3 linked regions of the Rattus norvegicus genome follow. The protein of the gene in region 1 purifies or fractionates together with the protein of each later gene. This does not show direct contact. Links are inferred from orthologs where the notes say so. Each region holds a gene or a part of one and is shown on either strand. Other genes may lie near its edges.

Region 1 (6,026 bases):
GGTAGAGGACAGAGGAGATGAAGTCTGGGTGCCAGTGGACCGACCTAGAAAGCTATGGCTTTGCAGCAATGAAAAGAAGGACATGGCTTCAGAGACTGGCTCAGCCAGGGCAAAGAGAATTCCCTTGCCTTGTCAGTGTTGGAACCCCGGTGCCTTTTAGGAAAAAATGGGGTTCTCTTAAGGGGCAGGAGTTAGTGTGGGAAAAAAAGAGAGCTGACCAGCCAGGATCATTTCCAGCGCCTCCGTCTTGGAGCCTCTCCTGGGCCCCAGGATCTAAGAGCTCAGCAATTCTGGAGGTCCCAGAGAGCTCCTAAGCTCCCACAGGGTACAGCACCTGGTGAGACCTGGCTGCTCAGGGCATGTGTGTGGCAACAGGGGCAAGAGCAGCAAGGCCTGGAGCAGGGCTGGAAGACGGGGTGTGGCGGTGGCCGGCTCACTGGAAGTGCAGAGAGCCTCCAGTCCAGGGACTACATCTCAATGGGCAGGGGGACTGGAAGGGGAAGTCTCAGGGACACTGTGGAGAGAAGGCTCCCGGTACATGGCCACTGTGAAGGGGAGAGAGAGAGCAGCAAGGAAGGAGAATTAGGCACACAGAGAGCCAGGAAGAATCCTAGCTCTGAGAGGCCTCCCTTCTCTTACACTCACCCTTGGAGAACCCCAACCCCCGCCAAAGGCTAAAGCCTTCCCGCTTGGCCCGCCATAACAACATGCCGTTGAACATTTATGGGCATCTATGTCACTAAGTATTCATGTCAAGGTCAATACCTCCCACATGACCCACCTTTTCTTGAGCCCATACCCACCCTCCAGGAGCTTGGGCACAAAGTGGGCAGCTGCCTTGGTCTTCTTGACTCGGTTTCCCTTCATGACCCGGCCTTCCTTGTCCAGGCCTAGGTACCAGGCCCGGCCAGAACGACGCTGGCGGTAGAGAGCAGAGGCATACAGGACATAGTAATTCTCAAAGACGCACTCCTTAAAGCGACACTCTGCTGTGAAATGCGGCTGAGAAGACAAAGATCCAGAAAGAGGCGTGGAGACACACACGGACACACGGACACACGGACAAACACACAGAGAGAGAGAGAGAGAGAGAGAGAGAGAGAGAGAGATCACTGGCAGAATGGAGCCCTTGGGAAGAAGCAGCCAGGATATAATCCATACATTGTTTGGAAAGGAGGACGGCAGCTACTGAGTCCACACAGAAACCAGAGCACAAGCACAGGGAGAATAGGAAGAACCTGGTGGATCACCCAGGGGCGGGAACTAGATCTTTAGGGGCACTAGAAATAAGATCGCTTCTCTTCATTCCCAACCTCTTACTTATCTAGAGGAAAGATGAGGCTTAAAGGCTGAGAAATGTCTCCCTAATAGCAGAAAGAATCGAGCATCCAAAGAGCCTGGGGTACTTGAGGGTGAGCATTGCGAGTGGAGATGGGTAAACTCTAGAGGAGGAGTTCTGGACCAGGCCCTCATCAGCCCAGAGTCCTGGGTGTAAGTCCTGTGTGTACAAAGGGTGGTTCTCTGCTGAGGGTGTCCCCCATACTCCAGGCCACTCAGCCTGGTCGTCTTACCGAGCTGTACAATAGCCCCTCAGCATTCATGGCCATGTAGTGACCCAGCTTGGCACTCTGGATGGTGACCACACGAAGCCCCACGGGAATCAGATTGAAGTGGGCTGGGGGAGTAGAAAGCCAGCATCAGTACCCAGGTACCTGGCTTCCATCTGAGTTCCCCCCCCCCGCCCCGCCCCCGACTCCAGCCCCACCGCCTCCCTGGGGGCTCAGGAAGACAAACAGAAGGTGGCAAAGCCTGAGGAGGTGATAGGATTGTCATCTCCTGTCTCCATCTCCCCACTTCCCACCCTGCAGCTGGTGTCCCTTCTCACTGAAGGAGCTGGTGTCCTCTGGGGTGCCCTGGATGCTCCCATCTGGATTCGCCTGGAGGTAGAAACCCTGGCGGCAGAACAGTTTGGTGACGATGCCTTTGAGCTGAGGCTCTGGAGAGAGAGACATTTATCTTTGAAAATGACATCTCTGTTCCCAGAAACATTCCTACACTTGGCGGGATCACAGGAGAGAAGGAAGGGGGAATGAAGAGGGTTCCAGGGCCCCAGCTCCCTTACCCTCCACGCCAGCTTCCTTCCACCTCTCTGTGATTCCTGAGGAAGCTGGGGTGTGGGTCCCTTCCGCTTTCTCTAATCATGAGCGTCAGCTTAATTTATTGAAATTTATTTAAATGGTTTAATTCCTCTCCCTACCAGAGTTGGGGGAGGGGGCAGGGAGGCGGTAGAAGAGAGAGACAAAGGCAACGGACAGTGCCAGAGACGCAGGGCAATGTGTTTGCAAATGTCGGGGTGAGCAGCAAGGTGACCACAGGGAAGGGGCTCCCCCTTAGAAGTAGGGGTGGGACTGGGCTTGACTGACGCTGACTCAGCACCTGCTGCTGCAGCTGCCGCTCGCTTGGCGCGGGCCTTGCTCTGGCACAGCGCCGGCCTGTCTGACACTGACCCATCTGTCTGTCTGTCTGTCAGTCAGTCGGCTGGCTCATGAAGGTCCAGTTTTTCCTGAGACTGAGCCTCTACCCTTCAGCCAGGTAACTGGCCGGGGATAGGGGACATTTAAACCACATCAAGGAAAAGGAAGAGGGGACAGAGATGGAGAAGCAGGCTGCATCACGTGGGGGCTGGGTCCCACTCAGAGGGTGGGCTGCGGACTGTACCACTACCTATTGTTGGTGATGGGGGAGGAGGGCGCAAGGGGCTACCCCTAAGGGAACCGGCAGCGGCCTGGAGCGAGGCCAGAGGGACTCCCTAACTGTCGTACCTGGACGGGAATCACATACCAACCCTTACATCTCTCCCTTCCCTTGGCTTGATCTCTGCCGCTTTCCCTCTTCCCCCTTGTAAGTGGTACGACCCCCCTCCTAAGTCCTGTGCTGGTCTTCAGCCCGAACTGTGTGTGAATTCCTACTGGTAGAGGGTCCCCGGAGGCTGTAGGACCGGATTTCCGAGTCACACAGGAGTAATGGGAGGGGGTGCCCAGCACCCTTCTTGAAGCGCAGGTCACAGAAGGAGGGCGTATGGAGGGGGCTGGCTGACGAGGTAGCTGCAAGGACACCCGGGGGAGAGCTGGAGAGATTGGCTCCTGGCCAGGCGAGCTGGACCAGGAGGAACAGAGCCAAAGCGTGGAGGGGCGGGAGAACCGGAGCGGGGGCGGGGCAGCCAGGGCTGCAGAAACCCTCGGGGTGACCCAAGCGTCCAGAACCCCTCAAGCCCCGCCACTTCGGATGGAAAGAATCGCGAGAACCCGCACGTAGGCGAAGAACCGTGGGGGTGGGGAGTCCTGTGTTGAAGGGGGGCCGACAGGAGCTGAAAAGCTTGGGGCGCGACTTCGCCCCTCAAACCTTCCCCCTGCCCTCGAAAGCAAGGAGATTCGGCATTACAGGCAAAGAGGAAGAAAACTGAAGGATAGTCCCGTACATTTTGTCGTTCTGGCCCACCTCTTCCACTTCTGGGACACCCCCCTCCTCATCGGGTTTCATTCTCCAGGGCCCCTGGGCTCAGGCAGGACTTCAGTCCGGGAGACCCCGCCCTAGCCACACTCACCTGGGCCGCGGTCCTGTCGCGTGGGCCGCCCCCCGCACAGTCGCACCTTGGACAGCAGGATGAGGAGCTGCTTCTGGCAAAGTGACTTGGTACCGCGGGGACACACGCGCCGCTGCGCGGACACCGGCCGGCTGCCCCCGGGCTCGCGGACCTCCCGCTTCTGTCGGATCAGGCTACTGGCCAACGCCGCCATCGCTCCCCGGGAGGAGACACCCCCAAACCAGCAGGCTCCCGGAGCTCCCTGGGCTCCCCAAGAGGAGCCCTCTCACCAGGGCATGCTCAGGACCCAACCCACCGCCCCACCCACAGGATCTGAAGATAAACCCCAGACCCCCGTATTCCCCCCCACACCACCAGCTCCCACCCTTGGGCCCTGACTAGCTCCAGCGGCTCCAGCAGCCTATGCACTCCTCAGCTGACCTCACCCATGAATTTTGTCCCCTAATGAAAGCTTTCCCCTTCCCTCCTTTCTGGCCTCTGTACCAGATAGAGGGTACCTCCTCTATCCCGAAGTCAAGACCCTCCTATTTCTAAGATGTGTTCCCAACACCCTAAGGCTTCTTTCTACCCTATTTAGGGGCCGCTCTTGCCCAGCCTACTCTCATAAAGGGTGTAAGTCCTAAGCTTTGTGGGCATTAGCTCACGCTAGGCTGCTGTCAATGTCAAGAGGAGCCCAGCTCTGTTTTTTCCTTTGCTATACTCTAAATGGAGTGGATCTCCCACTTTCTTCAAATCCCCCCGCCCCCAGCAAATATGACTCAATATCCAGGCTGTCTAGGTTCAGTGAGAAAGGGTTCCCAGACCCTCTGGCTGGAAAATGCTTTTTTTCACTGTCACCCCCATTTCTAGTACCACAGAGTTTCAGCTGCTGAGACCATTTCCTCACCTTGCTACCCTCCACTCCTTTTGAAGTCACCTCCAAATCAGCCCTTTCTAGTGCATACACCAGGTGGTTGTCTGGAGGACCCTCTGTCGCCCCCCCAAAAGGAGCATCAGTCGTTTGTTTGTTTTCTAGATGCCCCTTAAATTTCCCGAGGAACAACTGGCACTGCTTAGATCCCACACCCTCCAATCTAACAAGGCCCCCCAGAGAGGAGTGCACCCACGTTGTCAACACTCCTCAAACGTGAACAGGCCCTTAATAAGTCATAGCGCATCAGAGCTCCCTGCGCCAGGGCTTTCTCGTCTTCCCTGGGACTGCTATAACACCCCTTCCTTTCCCCGACGCCCCTCAACCTGTCCTGTCCTGTTGATCCGGGCGACCGGTGCCGCGAGCTCCGGCTCCAGGCTCCTCCCTCCCTGTCACCCGCAAGCGGAGGTTTCCCCCCAACGTCGGCCTAAGCGTCCCGGACCCCTAGGAAGGAGTGAGGATGTCTCTGCAGAGCGCCTCGGTTCGGCAAAGTCAGAGCACTGGGCCTGGAGGTTGGACCAGGCAGAGCGGCGGAGGCAGCGGCAGCGGCTGTGGGAAGCTGAGGCGGCGGCGGCGACAGAGGCTCCCCCTCCTCTGCGAGCCGGCCCGGGGGCGGGGCAGGGGGCGGAGACGCTGGGAGAAGCTGGGCGGGCGGAACCCTGGGGTTCCTTGGAAGCTGTAAGTGGGGACTGTCACAGAGGCAGGCGGAATAGAGGCAAGGCCTGCAAGTCTCGGGGTTCAGAGGAAACGAGACATAGAGCCTGATATGGCGGGGCTGGGAGCAAGGGTAGATGGAATAGCCGATAGAAAGAAAATGAAAAGGGACTCTACTTCCTGGGATGGAAGTGAGGACAGAAATGGATGAGGAGAGTTGTGGGGAAAGTGGAGAAACGGGTGGCTGTGCCATCCAGTCTGGGCTGTGATCCGGCCTTAATATCTCTCTGCTTTGTTATGAGCCAAATTGATCAGAACCAGGTTTCCAAAAACCAGTTTCTTCCCGCATTTTGTCAGTAAACACATTCTTCCTGTTCCCTGTAGACTCTGAAAGAATCAGGGAGGGAGAGAGGTTCTGGGAGGCAGTACTGGGATAGAAGGGGCACTAGCCAGACTTAGAGAACTTGGGCCTCAGGCAAGGCAGAATACTGGAGAAACCCTTTAGAAAAGAGACTTTGGACCCAACCACACACTGTATGCGAGGGGCAGCAGTCTCCTTCCTCCATGACCCTCTCCAGCCAAAGGAAACACTTTCCATTCCCTTAGGAGTAGAATCTTTAATGGGTCCCGCCCCCTACGCCCGCTAAACCGCCCCCTTTGCGGGCAACCTTGGCTTCCTCCACGGCCTCACGCAAGGCCTGTGCAGGGTCCCCGCGAAGCTGGGCCAATGCCCCGCGCAGAGCAGCAGAGCCGTCTCCCATACGGAGCTTTCGGCCGCTCAAAAAATAATGAGGCAGCGTCCCGGCCTCTAGCACTCGGCTCAGCTCATCCAGTAGCCCAAGGCAACAAGCGCCGGCA
Region 2 (5,926 bases), on another chromosome or scaffold:
AGATAGAACCAACATGCCTTTCCTTCCTACCTAGCTGACTTAGGAGGATGTAAAATGATTGTTATAAAAACGTTTGAGACTTGTAGGAACATGTCTTACAGGCATAGTTAAGTAACTGCCACACAATAGACTTGTACCTTTATGTACTTCTCCAGTGCAGGGTCAGCTCTGATGTTACAGATACTGTCCTCTTGTAATATTTGTCCCTTGGTCCTGAGTAGCCCCACTTTTCCTCACACATCTTTCTGTACATCCATAGGTATTGATTGAGACACTTTGTGCCCTGGGGGCTCAGTGCCGCTGGTCTGCCTGCAACATCTATTCAACTCAGAATGAGGTAGCTGCAGCACTGGCTGAGGCTGGTAAGTTCCATTTTACCAACTTTACAACAAAATTGTCATTATACCATACACACACACACACACACACACACACACACACACACACACACACACATATATATATACTATAAATTTGGGCAGTCTTAAAACAACAGAGCCTGAATATCAAGCTTAGTGCTGAAGTATTTCCCTGGTATGCAGCGCAGCAGTGAATTTGATCCCCATTGTCATGGGGGGGGGGGGGGTGAAGAGAACAGGAAAAGTTCTACTAAAGCCAAGGTACACTTTAAAACAGAAACAAAATCAAACAGCACCTAAGGAAATACTCGATTCTAGTGTTGAGTGGATGAAGGAGGAATAGTAAATGTGAGCTCAGCGGTCTCTTCTCCCCAAAAGTTTTACCAACTTTGACAGAACACTGTGAGTGGTCTCTTTTATATTGATGGTTAATGGATTATTTGGTGTTTTGTAGTATACTAAAACATATGTGCTATATAAGTTTTAATTAAAATTAATTTTTATTGTCAAAATGTTCAAATATACATCACCTTGAAGTTGGTCTGAGGACCTTCCACCTTCTAGGATTTTCTAATAATTGTTTGTTGTAGAAGATTTAAGAAATTTTTTTTTTAAAAATTGACAAACTTTTCTTTATACATTACATTGGTAAAACAAACCTTAGTAGGTACACATTTTTTATAACCAAAACATTACATTTTCAGAAGTAATTTCTCATATCACTGACAGGTGACTGCATCATTCATTCCTAGGCCACATGGTTTTACTTCATTTTCCTAGAATTGCATATTTAAATTATTCTGAGGCATCTGTTGCTGTTCAGTGCTCTTGAAGCAGCTTTGTTTTGCACACTTCACTTTGCCTCCTTAAGATGCAGTATAAAGAGTAAAATTGACCTAAAGACAATAATATTTTATGACTCCAAAATATTTTTAAAACAGAAATCTCTTAATTTCTTAAGTACAGTAATTTCTGAACTAAAAAGTACCATTTTGACTTTTTAAGTTTTCCCTCTCTGAATTTTTCTTTTCCCTTTCATTCTTCATGTGGATCTCAGAGCTGGTATTGATGTGCACATCAGAAGCAGCATTAACTAATTTATTTCTGTCTCCATAGGAGTTGCAGTGTTTGCTTGGAAGGGCGAGTCAGAAGATGATTTCTGGTGGTGCATTGACCGCTGTGTCAACATGGATGGGTGGCAGGCTAACATGGTAATCATTCATGTCCACCCCATATTTTTTACTATGGATTTATTTCCTTTTCTCCTTTAAAGCATGGTTCCCTAAATATATTTTTGTGTGTTTGGTCTTATTTACTGACTATATTGCTAAAGTGTTCATAACACAATACCTACTCGGTATGGATCTAAGATGCACAAGTCCCTGGGTTCAATCTCCAGCACCAAAAAGAAAGAAAGGAAAGGAAGGAAGGAAAGAAAGAAATGGAAAAAAGCTCTGCGAAGTGAATAGAAAGGTGGGGGAAGGGTAAGCTGAGGTGGACACAGGGCTCAAACACAGCAGAATAAACAGAAGGAAATGATGTGGTTGGTCCCTCTTTGGAGTAGGAGTCTTATTTCTTTCCTTCCTGCTCCACTTCTCCTTTTGCATTCAGAGGAGCTGTATATGTCAGCTAGACTGAAAATGAGCCCATGATTTGTAACACTTATTTACTGTAGCTGAGCATGGCGCTTGCCTGTATTCCCAGCATTTGAGAGGCTGAAGCAGGAATCCTCGAGCTCAGGAATTTTAGAGTAGCCTGAGCAACAAGCAAGATCCAGTCTCAAAAGAGAACTTTCCGTTGTAGCCTAGAACTCATTGAGGAATTCTCTTAATCACTTTACACCAACAGATTTAACTATATTTCCACTGTCTAAGCCTATTCTGCTGAGCGTTAAGACGTGCTCTTCCAAAATATCCAGGGCTCTCTCACTAGTGTAGAAAATGGGCTCAAAGTTCCCCCTAGCTCTAGCAGCCTGAATGCCCATAGAAGTCTTCTGGCTGTTCTGTAGATCCTGGATGATGGGGGAGACTTAACCCACTGGGTTTATAAGAAGTATCCAAACGTGTTTAAGAAGATCCGAGGCATTGTGGAAGAGAGCGTGACTGGTGTTCACAGGTAACAGATTCTGGAGTAGCTGCCCCTTGTGTCCTTGCCTCATCAAATTCTTCTGGTCTCTCCTAGACTTTAGGGCTGTGTTTCAGACTTTAAATAACTAAGTGGGAGTGTCTTCATTAGATAAAACTGAGTTTTTACTTTTGCAAAATCAAAATGACCATAGAAGGAATTTTGAAGGAAGTTTTTCAAATTCTAATTCACATGCTTTTATCTCTCCCATTTACTCCACTGAGTAATTAACAATTATTTGGGAGTAGGGGCGTAGGGAGGAGTGTGTCTTGTAAAACTTGTGCTCAATGTTGTATTATAATTTTTATATTTTAAATATGGAAGGAAAAGTATTTTTTAAAAAAAAAAAGCTATATGTGATGCAACAAAAAGTAAAACTGGAGATATACTCTTGGCTTGGTGGAAATAACTAAATGGTATCTAGGAGCACTGCTCTACCGGGGCACAGTGTACGTGATTGCTCTCACAGACACAGTGAATCACATCAAAACACTTGTCATCTTTGTTGACCTGAAGTAAACAGGAGTACTGAAAGTTAGAACAATGCTGGCCTAAGGTTATAATGTTCCATTTGTGGAAGAGCAGTAAATTACTTCAACTGAAAATTTTTTACTTTTCTTCCCCAAAAGTAAAGGATAAAGGTAGAAGGAAATGAGTTGAGGAGAGATGACAAGAAAATAGTCATGTTTCCGAAGAATTTCTGGGCATAAATAAGAATAAGGAGGGCAGCATGACTTGAAGAGACAGAAGCAGACTGCTGTTTACTGTTTGTCACTAACTGGTTGTGTGTTTGTTTTGTGGCTTCTTCTCCCTTTTAGGCTGTATCAGCTCTCCAAAGCTGGGAAGCTCTGTGTTCCAGCCATGAATGTCAATGATTCTGTTACCAAACAGAAGTTTGATAACTTGTACTGCTGCCGAGAATCCATTTTGGATGGGTATGTTGAAATGTATACATTCAGACTTGCAGGGATTGGTGGTATTTGTTTGACATGTTAGTCTGATACCTGTAGCTTGCCCCTGTAGTCTCCCACCTTTACATGTAACTAAAGGGGCCCACTTCACACTGATCTCAGCCAGCTTTCAAATGAATTTCTCCTGGGCGTTGCCCTACACTTGAGTTTGGTACAAAGGGACCAAGTTGTAAATGATGTTTGAGATGAGTCCTTGTCTGTTTCCACAGCCTGAAGAGGACCACAGATGTGATGTTTGGTGGGAAACAGGTGGTGGTGTGTGGCTATGGTGAGGTAAATAGTTGGGCCCCCGTGTCTCTGTCTATTCTTATTAGAAGGGCTTTAGAGAAACACTGGAGGAAGGAGACAATCTACAAACACTGACACATGGTTTTCCATACTGTGCTTGAAAATAGTGGCAGAAGTCCTTCTTTTCATATTCATGAATTAAAGGCAGAGTGTATTGAACTTCCATATTTTAGCACTTTATCTTATTGATTAATGTCAACATTACTGTCTCCCACTTATAACCTTTTATGAAATAAAATTCAAGCGGATAAGTAGCATTTTTATCCCCATCTTATGACTTGCATTATAATGGAGAAACCGAAGTGGCATTATAGTTGAATGTCTCTAAAGTGGACTAGGTCCTAGGAAGTTTCATCGTCTTCAGCAGTGGTTCACTGAAGTTCTTGGGCTGCTGGGTATTGAGTAGACACATTGGAAGAAAGTTTTACCAGGTTTTTATGGAGTAAATCAGTTGTTCTTGTTTGGTCTTATTTTCATATTTCCCCAACTCTTGCTGTGACTTGTCTGCTAAATTATCTCTAATTGAGGTTTACAGCCTAGATTGGGTTTCTTTCTGCTCCAGCTGGGGTTGGAATGTTCCCTGGATGATGACTGATTTAAAGAAGACTAATTCCTATCTCCTCAAAAGCTTGTCTGCCCTGGTGATCATGTCTTACTAGACCTGGCAACTTGGGCTTTCCTATATTCTGCAGGTAGGAAAGGGCTGCTGTGCTGCTCTCAAGGCCCTTGGAGCAATTGTCTACATCACAGAAATTGACCCCATCTGTGCTCTGCAGGCCTGGTAAGGGTGGGGTGCTGTAACACTGTCAGGTTTGCTGTTCGTGTTTTGTATTTCTGCAAGCTGGTGATTCATTTACTTCACTGTTTTCGTAGAAATCTCCCAGGGAAAGAGAGTAAGATGCTTTGTTCCCTTCACTCTAAGCCTTTTATGGGGCCTCTTGGCATTTTCTCCTGTGTAGACTCTGGGGCTCCACAGCAGCCAGTCTGTAGCTCCCTGTAGCTCATCATTTGCCATTGCTGGGATGGAACATTGGCTTTTACTTCAGAAGGGGATTTTGTTGTCTAATTTTGTGGCCATTTCAGAACATTTTGTCAACATGAGACACACGTGTGCTTTGCTTATTGTGTTGCTGTCTTTTCTTCCAGCATGGATGGGTTCCGGGTGGTGAAGCTGAATGAAGTCATCCGGCAGGTGGACGTTGTAATAACTTGCACAGGTGAGTATCGGTGCCTTGGTGCATGGAGAGCAGTGCTAACTCTCAGGCTAAATCTCAAAAGTGACCCAGAAGGTAAGACCTGTGCTCAGTGTGAAGTGTCAGAGTGAGTTCTCAGAACTTTTAGCATTTTCCAAAGGCGCTTTTTTACCATGGCGATTTTTTTCAGATTACTTGGTCTTAAAGCCAAATAATTGAGCTCAAGCATTTTGTGTGCACATCTCTCTCAAAATGTGCACAAGCTCCTTAGTGGTTAGCAGACACCTCCCAGGCTCCAGCTGGAAACAGTTGGCATTCTTGTTGCCCAGCTTCTCCTTCTTCAGCCACTCTTCTTTACTTTTAGGAAATAAGAATGTAGTGACCCGGGAGCACTTGGACCGAATGAAAAATAGTTGCATTGTATGTAATATGGGCCATTCCAACACAGAAATTGATGTGGTAAGGTTTCTCTCCATTACAGTTAGGCCTTCCTCTGCATTTATTTCACTCAAGCCACAACCAGCTGTCTGTTCTTCCTTCCAGACCAGCCTCCGCACTCCAGAGCTAACATGGGAGCGCGTACGTTCTCAGGTGGACCATGTCATCTGGCCTGATGGCAAGCGGGTCGTCCTTCTAGCAGAGGTAACGCACACCTCCGACTGCAGGCCTCTATGCTAGGGCACAGAAGAAGGGCAGGGGAGCTGTGGAAACACTAGGTCTGTGTTCCAGTGAGTTCTGTCTTGGGATAAAGATGTATTTTCCTGGGCTGGAGAGATGGCTCATCAGTTAAGAGCACCCGACTGCTCTTCCAGAGGTCATGAGTTCAATTCCCAGCAACCACATGGTGGCTCACAACCATCTGTAAAGAGATCCGATGCCCTCTTCTGGTGTATCTGAAGACAGCTACAGTGTACTTATATATAATAAATAAATAAATAAATCTTTAAAAAAAAAAAAAAAGATGTATTTTCCTAATTGTCTGTCCCCTAAA
Region 3 (5,926 bases), about 47 Mb from region 1:
GTTATGTCCTTACCTCCTCCACTACCACACGGAACTTGCTCTTGGTGCTGAGCACAGGCTTGACCCCTGAGAGCCACTGGACACTGGAGAAGATCTTGGCTGGGCCAATAAGTACTTGGCCTGGGTAGAAGCCATAGGAGTCATCAAAGAAGAGACCCTGCAGGATTCGAGGGCAGAGGAAAGTGCACAGTAGTCAGCTGTAGTGTGACTTACCTTGTGTCCCTGGCACATTAATGGATGCCTGGTTGCTAGTAAACTGGCTGTTTAAGGATCTCTAGCTGTTAAGACTGTTTGGGGTTGGGGATTTAGCTCAGTGGTAGAGCGCTTGCCTAGGAAGCGCAAGGCCCTGGGTTCAATCCCCAGCTCCGAAAAAAAGAACCAAAAAAAAAAAAAAAAAAAAAGACTGTTTAACACTAGGCCTTCAGTGTTGGTTGCCTCTTGGATTTCTGGAAACGGGATAGGTGGATAGGTTTACAAAAGCCAGGCAAGGCAGAGAAAAAGGGTGAGGGGTTGGCAGAGTGAGAGAAGCCAGTTGGTGCAGAAGACATGGTTAGGAGACAGATGAGTCATGAGCAGATAGGCTACAATGGTTGTTATAGTTTGGAGCTGATAGTGTTGGGAACACTGGGAGAAAGGACTGTTTAAGCAGAAACATTTGAAGTGGCTGGGCTGGAAACTGGGAGGAGGGCTAGCAGGGAGTTAAGGAACTGGTTACTGTTTTTCTTTTTCTTTTTTCTTTTTTTCGGAGCTGGGGACCGAACCCAAGGCCTTGCGCTTGCTAGGCAAGCACTCTGCCACTGAGCTAAATCCCCACCCCTGGTTACTGTTCTTAAAAGCCATCTTACATTAGCCCTCCTTGGCTAGTCGCATGACATGGCATCTAGGATGGCCGGAGCATAGTCTACAGAGAATATATTTCCCAAGCCTGGTGCAAACCAGGTGCTAGTAATCATATTAAAATGCACTGCAGACTGTTCCAGGCCTTAACAGGCTCTCAGGCAACGCAGGGCTGGTGGTCAGGGTCACACACTCAGAAGCAAAGCCCTAGAGAGCAATAGCACACACTTGTTTAATACGACGTCTCTAGTACGAACTACGTCCGTGTGTTACTGTGCTGTATTCCTGCTGGACAAAGTGACTGTGTGCTGAAGGGTGAGAGACAAGGCTGACAGTGTGGTGTCACACCGGCAATCCTAGCACTCAGGAGCTGAGAGTTTGTGTTGGAGGCTGGCCCAAGCTATAGAACAAACTGGAAAACAAAACAAGTGGCCCTCGGAGAGATAAAGAGCAGAGGACCCACACACATGACGACTCACAGTCCTCTTCCCCCAGTACCAGGGACCTGACCTTTCTTTGCCTCCACACACGTTCCATGGACATGGTGTGCATTTCCTTTTCTCTGATTTTCTCATAAAATGAATCTTACCCCACCTCATCCCACCTCAGCCAACCACCCAAGTGAGACTAGTAACAAATTAGTGTTTAATGCCCCTACCCAAGCCTCAAGCAGCTCTGGTGCCCTCTTCCCCTGGCCTCACAACCTTGCCCAGCCTCGCACAGTCCTCATGTCTAAGCAGCTGAGGAACAGACATGATGACTCCCTTCTGGCAGAGCAAACGTACCGAGTCGCTGACGTGAGGGCAGACATCGTAGAGTTTGGCACCATCTTCAGTGTTCATGGAGCACCTGAAACAGACAGAGGCTTGGTCTCCACCAGGGCACAGTAAGCACCAAACACCAAGGACCAGAGGCCCTGAGACTAGAGCATCCCCAGAACACGCCATTCATCTTCCACCTACGGCTCAGCCTCTGCCACAGCACAGGAGCACAGCTCCATCTGAGTGCCCGCCACTACTAACACTGCAGAACAGAGATGTCCAAATGAAACACCTCACCAAGCTCAGATACCAAAGCCTGAGCTGTAGAGGGGGTGGACAGGAGTTACCACGGGGATACAGGTGCTGAATGCCAGCACCATCCATTACCGTCTGGGACCACCCCTGACCTCACAGCGCTGGAGACTCAGGCGGCTGTCCCTAAGCTGACACCTACCTGGCCCCATTGGACAGTTTGAGGATGATCTGGTTCTTCAAGTCATAGACCTTCCCCAGCCAGCAGTCATAGGCGATATAGTCTCCATACATGAAGGGCTGCAGATCAAGGACATGGCACTGAGCTAGGACACACACCACAGAGCCGAGAGTCTTCTTGACCCCAGTAGGATGTAAAAGGTTCTGAACGATGTATTAACACTGCATTCCACGTCCCTTCTCCTGAGCAGGCAGAGGAACTGTGGGCTCCTAGCAACGGGAGTGTCCCACAGTGGCAGAGGAACCAGCACGAGGAGGTTGGCATGGTTGGGAGGTGGCTTTGTGGATAGGTAGAGACCATGAATAAAGGTCAATCCACTGAGAACACTGAGCGCAGTGAACTTGCTGTTAAAAAGTGTTCAGCAAACAGAAGCCATCCCAAAGGAGCTTCCTCATTTGGGACAATTGAAGGGAAAAGTGATGAGAGTACTGAATTATAAGCAGTCGAATAAGTGCATACTCATAAAAATGAATGAGCAAAGAAACAGGGCAGTAGGCACAGCCCTTCCACACAGAAGAATGCCAACCAACAGAAACAAGGGAACAATGACTTAAGGAAGACACCACGTGTGACTGTCAGAGGCATGGCCTCTTTAAATGGCAATGTTCCCAAGACTAAGGCTTGCAGATGGTGGACTAACACGGAGTCTGATGTGTGGAACATAATTACTGACTGGGGGGTAAAGGATGACCTCACAGTGGAGAGGACTATGAAGATCAACATGACCTGCATGCAGAGTAAGCACCCCAGCAGTAGAGTAGCACTGGACATTAAAAAAAAGTCTACACATTGGGGCTGGAGAGATGGCTCAGTGGTTAAGAACACTGCCTGCATGGGGCTGGGGATTTAGCTCAGTGGTAGAGCGCTTACCTAGGAAGCGCAAGGCCCTGGGTTCGGTCCCCAGCTCCGGGGGGGGAAAAAAAAAAAAAAAAAAAAAAAAGCACTGCCTGCTCTTCCAAAGGTCCTGAGTTCAATTCCCAACAACCACATGGTGGCTCACAACCATCTGTAATGAGATCTGATGCCCTCTTCTGGTGTGTCTGAGGACAGCTACAGTGCACACATATACATAAAATAAATGCATAGTTCTTTAAAAAAAAAAAAAAATAAAGCCTACACACAGCTGCACAGCACCAAGGCATGCTGGGAGTCTGTCCATGAGGCATTATCACGCACAAGCTTTTGCAGTATCACCGTCCAGGATGTGGAAGGACATCCAGATGGGAAAGAAAAACTGACAGGTAAATGCCAGGTGTGTTCCTGGATAGCCTCAGGGGGAAAGCACAGCCGGGCAATCTGAAGGTCAGGCAGTGTGCATGTGGTGTGACCACGGACTCCTCCGTCTACAGGCTGTATCCGAATTGTGGAAAGTAGAGAATGTAGTGAGCAGGGGCTCTGGGGGCTTTCAGATGGTTCAGGAGGTGAAGATGATGGGGCTCTGTGGGGAGGTCAGCAGATGCACACTGGAGAGGGGGCACACAGACTTAGCCCTTCTGGGTAAGTTGAAAGTCCTTTTCACAAGACAAAGGAATGTTTTGCTGTTGTTCGTATATGTATGAGTACTCTGCTGCATGAGTGTATGTGTGCCACGTGGGTGCCATATTCTCAGAGGTCAAAGGGCAGAGCTGGATCCTCTGGATCTGTGTCTTGCCTATGGGGCCATCCATCTCTTCTTCCTTCTTGGTGCTAAGTGTTGGCTGGAGACGGAGAGATGGCTCAGCAGTTACGAGCACTGTCCTCTCTTGCTGGGGACCTGGCTAACTCCCTCTTCTGGTATCAGCACGCAAGTGGTACACAGACTGTATGCATGCAAAAACGCCCCACACAGCAAACAAGCAAGCAAGCAAAACCGTGTCTGTCTGTGGTAGTGAGAAACAAGTAAAGTCCTGATCTGCACTGAGGCCGCGGCAGAGGGGGCAGACCCTGATGACCTCATGTCCAGTAGCTCACACGCAAGGGCAACACCAAGGCTGCACTTGGCAGGAGCAGCACGGAGACCATACAGCCAAGATAAGTGGCCACCACTCACCCAGATGTGCTGGAGGTCCTTGCTGTTGACAGGGTAAATGATGCAGTTGGTGCCAATGAGCTTGACGGCACAGTCAATGTTGACGTCTATCACCGTGCCACACTGACTGTCCTAGGGGAAGAAGGAAAAATTCACACGGTTGCACTAGGAGACCCCAAACAGACACTCCCTAGTGATCTTCACTCCCCAACAAAGCAGCTCTGCTCCAAACAAGAGTGGGAGCAGACAGACTCAACAGCCCGATGGGATGGGGATGAGGGGCTGACTCACAGTTGAGCGCATGTGCCGGACCACATCCCGGGGCACCACAGAGCGGTCCTCCAGTTTCAGCTGTAAAGAAAACATGAATGAGAGGCCTGGAAACAGCAGACCTGAGGCAGAACGCACTCCACTCAGGTGCATCCCGCCAGGGGCAGACAAGGGAACCTTTTATCTGTATTCAGTCCTTCTCTCAGTGTCTTACCCTCTGACCTTGGCTCATCAGTGCTCAGAAGTGGTTGGAGGACTGGCATGACACTGGGCAGTGGCCAGTCACCATGAAGCCAGCTGTCACTGGACACCACCCTCCTAATCTGGGTTATCCTGCCTGCCCAGCTGCAGCCTGCTCCTTATCTGTGACATTGCACAGCCTGTCCTGACCCAAGTGAACCCCCAGAACTGCCACCTACTGCTGCTGGGTGGCCTCAGCCTCTACAGCCCAGGCAGAGCTGCCTCTCTGCCAGGCTGATTCGTCTTCTCTGTTCTCGAGTCTCCAAATCTGGATTGTTCTGCCATGGAGCAACCCGTGAGTGATTGCTCCAGGACTGGCAAGCACACACCAGGGAGAGCTGCCCTCAAGCTCTACCCAGCTCTCAATAACATCAGCAAAGGCCTCTCTGCTCTCAACTGAGAAAGGTGACTGCAGAGGAACAAGATGGAAACGCTGGGGGGGAGTACAAGGTCACCACAGCTTTGAGGAGGACAACTAAAACACACTCTACAAGTAGGCTATGACTTAGAGGGAAGCAATGAAGCACCACGATAAGTAGGAATGCACAAACTGCCACAGGGACCCAGACCTGTTCCAGATGACAACGTGGTGATCGGTGTTAGCCTACTGCTTCCATGGTACCTCTGCAGCCAGCACTGGGACCCGTGACAGGATTGAAGCCACAAACAGAGCCCAAGTGCATACACATACAGCTCCTACCATCACCCATGGCTGCCTGACTCCTGGCTTCAAGGCACTGGAGGGAATGCAGAGAGGCTGGTGCCCCTTCTAACTGTAAAGACACTTTGTGCCTGCCCTACCTTAACTGCCTCTTAGCTTAGACTTCGAGACACCACCAATCAGGGGCCTAAGTCATCACAGAAAGCAAAGGTGCACATGGGAGGGAAATTCAAAGAGTGAGAGGCTTGAAGAGAGCCATGAGCTGAGTCTGCAGGTCATGCCCCTAGTGGCCTTTGTCAGGTCCAGGCACTGCTAGGGGAGGAGGGGATATACATGTACAGGCTTCGATTGACCAGAACAACCTTACACAGGGCATGTGGGACGGAGGCCCTAGTTCTACACTGAATGTGGGGGGATCTTATGGAAGCGTGACCTCCCCAACGCCGCTCGGCTCTCCACCTGGAAACCATCCTCAGGAGCTCTCTCCTCTAATCTTGCATGGCAAGGAGCCCCAACTCCCCAGAGCCCTGCTGGCACTGGGAGTGGCAGGGAGGAAGAGATGGGGAGGAAGAGGGGTTGGTTACTATGTGTCACTCCCTTGGCCTTGCCAGTCTTGCAGGGGGACAAGCAAGGCTACCCATCATCCTCTGTGACTT

Evidence for each region.
Region 2: the proteins of Fgf11 (region 1) and Ahcyl1 purify together in Homo sapiens (affinity purification with mass spectrometry; 3 studies listed by BioGRID and IntAct, with this or other methods). This does not show direct contact. The link is inferred for Rattus norvegicus from reciprocal best matches to the Homo sapiens genes FGF11 and AHCYL1.
Region 3: the proteins of Fgf11 (region 1) and Ube2o purify together in Homo sapiens (affinity purification with mass spectrometry; 3 studies listed by BioGRID and IntAct, with this or other methods). This does not show direct contact. The link is inferred for Rattus norvegicus from reciprocal best matches to the Homo sapiens genes FGF11 and UBE2O.

What each region holds. Positions count from the first base shown.
Region 1 is NC_086028.1:55,016,860-55,022,885, forward strand, and holds the start of Fgf11 (fibroblast growth factor 11), read right to left. Parts: upstream 3,915-6,026; 5' UTR 3,798-3,914; coding exon 3,605-3,797; intron 1,997-3,604; coding exon 1,886-1,996; intron 1,676-1,885; coding exon 1,572-1,675; intron 1,003-1,571; coding exon 782-1,002; intron 546-781; coding exon 506-545; coding exon of another isoform or gene 475-505; 3' UTR 1-474. Other genes in the region: Tmem102 (transmembrane protein 102), read right to left, coding at 5,786-6,026.
Region 2 is NC_086020.1:197,987,458-197,993,383, reverse strand, and holds part of Ahcyl1 (S-adenosylhomocysteine hydrolase-like protein 1), read left to right. Parts: intron 1-259; coding exon 260-362; intron 363-1,475; coding exon 1,476-1,570; intron 1,571-2,367; coding exon 2,368-2,474; intron 2,475-3,301; coding exon 3,302-3,418; intron 3,419-3,663; coding exon 3,664-3,727; intron 3,728-4,434; coding exon 4,435-4,523; intron 4,524-4,888; coding exon 4,889-4,959; intron 4,960-5,299; coding exon 5,300-5,394; intron 5,395-5,478; coding exon 5,479-5,577; intron 5,578-5,926. UniProt on the Homo sapiens protein: Multifaceted cellular regulator which coordinates several essential cellular functions including regulation of epithelial HCO3(-) and fluid secretion, mRNA processing and DNA replication.
Region 3 is NC_086028.1:102,272,678-102,278,603, forward strand, and holds part of Ube2o (ubiquitin-conjugating enzyme E2 O), read right to left. Parts: intron 4,451-5,926; coding exon 4,391-4,450; intron 4,232-4,390; coding exon 4,121-4,231; intron 2,151-4,120; coding exon 2,053-2,150; intron 1,687-2,052; coding exon 1,623-1,686; intron 158-1,622; coding exon 14-157; intron 1-13. UniProt on the Homo sapiens protein: E2/E3 hybrid ubiquitin-protein ligase that displays both E2 and E3 ligase activities and mediates monoubiquitination of target proteins. Negatively regulates TRAF6-mediated NF-kappa-B activation independently of its E2 activity.